2 linked regions of the Callithrix jacchus genome follow. The main gene of each other region encodes a partner of the protein of the gene in region 2 in a complex. Links are inferred from orthologs where the notes say so. Each region holds a gene or a part of one and is shown on either strand. Other genes may lie near its edges.

What was found. Proteins that work in one complex are often made in the same cells at the same time.
Region 1: the proteins of XIRP2 (region 2) and NEBL are in contact, whole or in part, in a crystal structure (PDB 4F14), measured with the Homo sapiens proteins. The link is inferred for Callithrix jacchus from reciprocal best matches to the Homo sapiens genes XIRP2 and NEBL. Residues at the interface, in NP_689594.4 of Homo sapiens: Pro2420, Pro2421, Pro2422, Thr2423, Leu2424, Pro2425, Lys2426, Pro2427; in NP_006384.1 of Homo sapiens: Tyr963, Asp964, Tyr965, Asp969, Asp971, Glu972, Ile987, Asp988, Asp989, Gly990, Trp991, Met1004, Pro1006, Asn1008, Tyr1009.

Annotation. Positions count from the first base shown.
Region 1 is NC_133508.1:21,400,002-21,403,656, forward strand, and holds part of NEBL (nebulette), read right to left. Parts: intron 2,941-3,655; coding exon 2,848-2,940; intron 1,286-2,847; coding exon 1,181-1,285; intron 194-1,180; coding exon 22-193; intron 1-21. UniProt on the Homo sapiens protein: Binds to actin and plays an important role in the assembly of the Z-disk. May functionally link sarcomeric actin to the desmin intermediate filaments in the heart muscle sarcomeres.
Region 2 is NC_133507.1:62,423,912-62,428,126, forward strand, and holds the start of XIRP2 (xin actin-binding repeat-containing protein 2), read right to left. Parts: upstream 2,927-4,215; 5' UTR 2,767-2,926; intron 1-2,766.

The sequences.
Region 1 (3,655 bases), on a different chromosome or scaffold from region 2:
CGAGAAAGACCGTCAGCTTACCAACAATGATTCCAGGTCTCCTGTCCATCTCCACGATGTGAGGGTGGACCCCCTTATAGGCAGCATCGCTGACCACCTGGGTGTTCTTCCTCACTCTCTCTGTCACAGGATCGTCCACAACAGGAGTAAAGCCTCTCCCCTTTGTCTTTTCAAAATCTTCATGGTATTTTACCTGAAGAGGAAAAATCATCATGCTGAAAGTTGCTGATAGTCACCTATCTCATGACATTTTGATTAAATGACAGGTGTACACTGTACTGGCTGCATGCAGATTTTCTACATGTATGTATCTTTTCCAAATATTCCAAAACCACAGTCTGAAGCTTCAGTTTCTTAGCATCTGAAATCAAATGCTGATATTTTCACAATGTTTTTAATCATTATAGCTCATATCTATTTTAAATTATATACAAAACTACATATATTATTAGTGAGAGGTTGTAAAAGATACATATTCTCAAATCCTGGTTACTACCTAAAATATACTAACAAGTATAAATTAAATTTCCTATCTCTTAACCTTCAATATACAATAAAGTGATATCAATTTCCAGACAATCATTTATGAAAATGGCATTATTTAAAATTAGTTTAAAATTTTATAGGTTATGATATACACAATTTTTAATATAATTACAAAACTTATACTTCAAAATATACTATTTTCACATCCTGAAATTAGGTCCAGGAGACAGTTGTATAACTGTAAATTATACTAGAAACCACTGAATTGAACACTTTAAATGGGCAAACTTTATGGTAGGTGAATTACACCCGATATTATAATTTTTTAAAAACACACTTTTTTTCATATTCTTTTTGACATGCAAACAGACCAAATTCTGTCTTAAAATTAAATGGAAAGAAGTCTACAGAAAAGTCTTTCATATAATGCGTTTATAATACTCACATTAGAAACAAAGACACGCCAGAAAAAGTCACTGAGAAAAATGATTTTATTAGACCAAATATTTCCATTACATTTCAGTGTGATTAGAAATGCAGCCCCCACCCCACACACACACGAAGGTCAGGCCGACTGCGTTTCCATGCTTTGTTAGTTATCAGATTAATAGTGAAGTAATGCCATCAGTTCACTGGGTCCGGCCATTCCTTAGCATGCTTTAGTCATGAGAAGAATGATCTGGTTGCACCCTACCATTGAAATACGATTTTGTGCTTCTTTAACATGTCTCATAGCAGGTGTATCTAACATCTGACTTGGTCTACCTTTCATCTGTTTATGGTCCTGGGTATATTTTACCTGAAAAGTAAATAGTAGACATAAGGCAATGAAAGGAAAACGCAGGATATAACTTTTTTAAGCTTTATGAATGAGGGAAACATATGCAACATACTTGAAATTATTTTCCAGGTCACTTTTTCAGTGAATTAAATTTTGTTCTAGAATAGCAAAACTCAAATTTTACACTCAAAGATCGCCTTTAACACCTATTGCAAAATGACCTAAATCTATCAACTGAAAACAAATGTGTGAATGATCAAGAGTAACTATCTAATCTGTAAAACTGGGCAGGCCCAGTGGCTCATGCCTGTAATTACGGAACTCTGGAAAGCTAAGGTGGGAGGATTACTCCAGGCCTGGGGTTTGAGACCAGTCTGGGAGGCATCGTGAGGTTCCCCAACTCTACAAGTAAAAATTTTTTTAAAAATTAGTTGGGCTTGTGCCTGTAGTCCCAGCTACTAGAGAGGTTAAGACAGGGCAGCTGCTTGAGCCCAAAAATTCAAAGCTGCAATGAGCTATGATTGTGCTATTGCACTCCAGCCTCCAACAAAGACTGTGTCTCAAACTCAAACACACACACACACACACACACACACACACAACTGGTTATCATATTTAAGTTAAACAGAGAAAATCCAAAACTATTAAACAGAACCCAAAGTTATTTTGTTTCTAAATTTCCCCATTTTCTACCATAACACTATTGAAAAATGCATACAACCTACTCTCTATTTCTTTTCATTTCTTCTCTGCTTAGAGAGTAAGAAGCAATGAGGAACAAATTTCGTTGTTCTTCTAAGCAGACACAACTTAAAAGTAATTTATGTTAAATACACACAGCATCTCTGGACAGACATGCCACTAGGAAGCTGTAAACTGCAAAGGCCAAATGCTGATTCTCAGGCAAACAGCTATTCAAGGTGTGCTAAGAAAAGGGCCTGTGTTCTTAACAGCTGCCCATCAGAACACTGCCATTTATGAAACTGATTAGGTGTAAGATTTGGATACCACTTATGTTGACCTGAGGGCATTGTGTCCAATTCAGAATTGAAGCTCTGATATTCACTAAGAGGAAGCACAATATTCAAATAAGATGCTAATATGCACCACTGGACTTTAATGAGCAACTAAATTCTATGTTAAATGTATTTAAGGATTTTTTTCTCTAAGTCTTTAGTAAAAGTATTCACCTCCTATTCTGTTTTGCAGACAGCATTTGACAATACACATTCATCGAAATATTTCAGTAAAACGACAATTATTTAATGCACACATCAAAGGCGTTATCACTTTCAAAGACACTGGCTAAAACAGCATAAATCGCTGTTTAAACAAACACTTCTAAACAAAGCTTTGAATGTAACTCTTGGTCACATCTGGAAATACCAAAGAGTTGCAAGAGAATGTAAATGTACGCAGTGGCAGCTTTTGGACATCATCTGAAATAACACATGTATTTATTGGACATACCACAGATGTTTCTTGAAAATAAAGTTTCTTTTCACAAGCAAAAGAGGACTGCAAGTAAATAGTAAAAGACACATCCTTTGTGATAGTCTAAAATGAAGAAAACCACTTGCCGAGCTAATATTTTCTTGGTTCTTCTTCACTCTTTCCATTTCAGGGGTTACACTTAAAGCAGTAGCTCTTCCCAGCTGAGCTTTGTAATAAACCTATCATTTCAGAGAACAAAAAATAGACTACTGTGAATCAATTCGACTAAGAGACTTATTTATTTAAGACAGGGTCTTGCTCTGTCACCCAGGCTGAAGTGCGGTGGTGCAATCTCTGCTCACCACAGCCTTGACCTCCCAGGCCCAGGCAATCCTCCCACCTCAGCCTCCGAGGTAGCTGAGATTATGGGCCTGGCTAATTTTTGTATTTTTGTAGAGATGGACTTTCGCCATATTGTCCAAACTGATCTGAAACTCCTGGGCTCAAGTAATTCATCCACTTCAGCCTCTCAAGGTGCTGGGATGACAATCCAGAGGCACCGTGCCTGGCTCATAGTATTTAGTTTAATGCATTAACCAAGAAACTTTTGTAGGAAACTGCAAAAAATGAAGACATTTTCAGAGGTCGAGTCGTATTTAAAATGCCAGCATCTTAAATCAATCTATTTCGTTTCCTCCCATAAAAGAGTACACATGTCCAAATCACTTTGGATGTACTCAAATATATAGGCATACCATCAGTAAAGTTATAATAAGCATTTAATCACAAAAGAAATGAGAAGAAATGTCTTCATGGATATTACTTAAAAGTATTCACCGTAGACTCATACTATATGGCCATGGTTTCTTAGGAATTAACTCTGGCAGAATTTTTGTAAAGATGTGTTTAAATAGGTGACTGTGGGTGTCCTTTAAAAAGTCAGCAAGCTTCTTA
Region 2 (4,215 bases):
CTTTGGCCTCTGAAAAGAAGAGAGAGGTGGAGATTGAGTTCAATCAGGAATGGCCAATGATTTAATCACTCATGCCTTATGTAATGAAACTGCCATAACAACTCCTAAAGGACAGGGCTTGGTGAGCTGCCAGATTGATGAAGGCACCCAGGTGCTGGGGATGGCTTGTTAGGAGAAAGCAAGGTAGCTGTGTGCTTCTGCCCTTCAATACCACACCTTGCCTTATGCATCTCTTCCATCTGTCTGTTCCTCTATAATATAACAGTAATAACAAATAGAATATTTTTCTGAGTTCCGTGAGCCATTCTAGCGAATTATCTGAGGAGGGGGTTGTGAGGGTCCCTTAATCACTAGTTAGATGGGCAGAAAGATTAGTGGCCTGGGCACTCCATTAGTGGTTGTCTTCTGAAGTAGGCAGCCTTATGGGACTGAGCCTTCTACGTGTGGAGTCTTTGCCAAGCTCTAGATCTAGTGTCAGAACTGAATGACAGCCTGTTGGTGTCAGAGACTTAGAGAATTGGCTAATGTTGTAAAAGACACAACACTTAATATCAGAATTAGTGTCAGGAAACAGATAATACAACATGCCACACAGTCATATAAACAACATGCACCTATATGGAATAAATCAGTGCTCTAAAGAAGTCATTAATTAATTTAAAAATTGACGTTACTGTTCTGTGAGGGGTGAACCTATGATTTGAATGAGCAAGTGTTTGTTTCAGAAGCAGGAAGAAACACATTACAATTTAATTAAATTTCAGAGTGTAGCTTCAGTGCTTTCATAAGAGGAGGTGGGAAGAAAATAAAAAAGACAATATAATGTCAATTAAGTTCTGTCTTCACAGATTGTTTAATAAAAAATATTGGAATTATAGGCTGGGCACTTATTAAGAGTCTGCCCTGCTTTATAAATTACTAAATCTAGACATGACTCCTAGCAATCAAACAAGGCTTACAAAATGGTCTCTTTAATACCCTGAGTTGTGTTTGTGTATGTGTGTGTGTGTGTGTGTGTATGTGTGTGTGTGTGTGTGTGTGTGTGTGTGTGAGAGAGAGAGAGAGAGAGAGAGAGAGAGAGAGATCAGTTCCTAGTATTGACATTACCAGGAGTGTCCAACTCCACATTGCCTCATTGTAAGTAGTATTTTACTGAGTAAGTAATAAGAATACTAAGGTGAAGAAAGTTTTAAACATGGTAAAGGTAAAGTGAGAGGCTGGAACTGATAGAATAGAGGGAAGGTATCAACTGTGAACAACAGTACATTATCCATGAACTTTGTGGGATTTTAACCCCAAATTAAAGCTGAAGAAAGGCAACACTGTCCTCTTCCACTGTAATCACAGATAAAATGATGTCTGAACTGACAGTTTTCTATGAACATTTTCCCAAGTAAAGCCCTCTGAGATCATAAAAGAATGTCTCATTTTATTTTTCAGGTGGTTAAGGGAAGCTATATCTTAAAGGTGCACAACACAAGATGAAAGCAGAAATATTTAGCCCAAACTCCAGACTGCATTTTTCCCAAACAACTGGTACTTTGCCAGTGCAGCCATCTGAAATGAGGACTGACTTTCAGAAACGGGTGGGTCTAGTTGTTAGCTTACACGTTGCTAGCCAGAAGAAAAAATACGCAAAAATTAGGCAGAGGAACAGAGAAATACTTAAGCATAGAATTCAGCGTTTTCTCATTTCTGACCCAATACTTTTGCACTCAATAATCTTATCTTCTAAAACTCAAAACAGGTGCTCTTTCATATTAAAATTCATGGCTATGAATCTCACCAAGGTAAATATTTTGCCTGTTCTTTGACACACTGCACATAAAATTTTAAAATAATTCAAACAATCTACAGCTTGTCAGTGACCAAATAGAGCACTGGTAAAAATAAAATATCTTTTGGTTCAGCACCAGCTGGCTAAATTAAAACCCTGTATTATGTAATCTTAAAGTGTCCTTGCTTTTAGTTGGTGTCTTAAGAGATTCTGTTAAAATGTCTCTCCCAAATCACTTCAGTCTCTAACGTCTAAACACTTAAGACACAATAGGACCAAATTAAAGTGCTCACAGGCAATCGAAGAGAGAAAAAAAAATCCATTTGAAACAGTGTATAGGGCAGGATATCTTTAAAGTAAAATCTCAGTCTTCTCTATTTAAGGTTGTAGTTACTATAATTAGGACTGGCAGACCCAACTGGCAGTGCTTTTCTTAATTCTGCAAAACATGTAAGAACCTGATTCTTTAATCTTACTCCAGTAATACTCCCAGAGGAGATGAGACTCTGGCTGGAGCAAGAACCACAAAAGCAAAGTAAGGCTGGAAAACGATAATGTTCATGCATTTCTCTGAGCAAGCTACAACAGTTGAAAATGTTGTAAACTCTTTCTCAACAAATTCTGTGAAATACGATTTATATTTTTTAATATGTTCATTTCATTTCTGCCCATAAGTGGCAAACTAATTTTTTCTCTGCCTTCCCTTCTATTTGTAAGTTGAAGTAGAATTTTAACTCATGACTGTTTATCAAGTTTGGCTCATTATTCTTCAATATTAAATATGAAAAATGCTATTCTGCCAAGAGATGAACATATGAAGCTCAAAATTTTTATCCTGTTAAATCAATGCTAAATATTATCATACAGGCACAATCCAATTGGATATTTTCTTTTATAATAATTACAATTTGACCTATGGTCTTCTGACCAGCAAGACCATTTTACAATCCAGGAAGCAGACACATAGTCACCGACTATATTACACTTACCTTTTATGATATTTAGGTTTAACCCCAAGCTTGCGGAAGTATCCTAAATCTTTATAGTTCTTCACAGACTAGCTTCCTCCCTTGTTTCATATACAGCAAATTTCCCAGTCCCCTGAAAGCAATGGGTGCAGTGGAGGCCCGCTCCACTGAAGGGTCTATCAAGCAAGTAGAGGGGACGGCTGAATTTATTTTAGCAGCGCTTCTAAAGGATGCAACTTAGCACCTATTTTTAGTAACTGAGCTCTGTATAGGTGGGGCCTGAGTCAAGTACTCTTTTCAGACAAGTGTCTCTGAGGCCACTCTGCCTCATAGTGTCCTCAGTAATGTATGCGTGGCTCTAACACATGTGCAGTCAATCAAACTCTCTTTGGCAGTCACGACCACCAGCCAACTCTGAACTTCTGTCCAAAGTCTACAAATGAACCAGTGCCAGTGAGGAAAAGGAGGAATTAACATCCCAGAATTACTTGCATTTTTTTTAACTTTCAATCTTTTAAGACTCAAGAATATGAAAATAAAGCAGGTGGAAAAAGTTTCAATTTATTCTGGTGGAATAATTAACAGGGGTTCTCGTGAAGAGGACACATTGCTTTTTTTTGACAATGTGTTCATAGATATGTAAAACATTAGTTTGTTTTGTCAGACTTCACATATAAAGCAAAATGCTACTCCAGTGCTAACTTAAGTAAAGACTGTGCTGGGTTAGTTTAAAAAAGCAAAGGAAGAATGGTGGAAAGACATTCTAGAGAGAATAGAGAGCACCCTTGCGGTATGAGTCCTGCTCATTAATCCTAGCTTTAAATCATTCAGCGTGAGGAAGAGCAGGCCGGGAAAAGGAGTCACCTCACATGCTCTTGAAAGAAACATATTAAATGTTCTTTGCTGCCAGGACTTACCAAGCACACGCTGCCAATCTGACCCAGAACCCAGTGAGCATTGCTGTTTGGCTCAAAAATGCCAACATCTCGTACCTTCTCAGTAAATAGAAAATAACCAGCTTCCTTTATCTTTCCTCCCTTCTATGACTTGCCTAGTATGGTGTGATCTAACAACAAACTCAAATAAAGAAAGGAAATTGTCCTTTGGCTAAAAAAAATTTGACCTATATACCTTTTATCTCATATAAAATGCCTATTTGTAAGCTGTTTACTATATTATTAACCAATCAGTAGGTATATTACATTTTTCCATATACAATATTGGTTTTTGTTAAAAGTAGGTCAAGAAGTGATATTCTAGCATATTAACTCTAAGAACAAGTTTCTGAAATAGTGTTCTATATACTCCACAAAGTGTTCAGGGCCAGGAGCCAGTAAAGACCATTTAGAGTTCTGCTTCAAAGTATGATTGCTATTAGGCACATGTGGCCATTTAAATTTTAATTTATTAAAATTAGGTAAAATTAAAAATTTATTTCTTCAGCTACATTTCAAGCAAATCAGTCTCCAC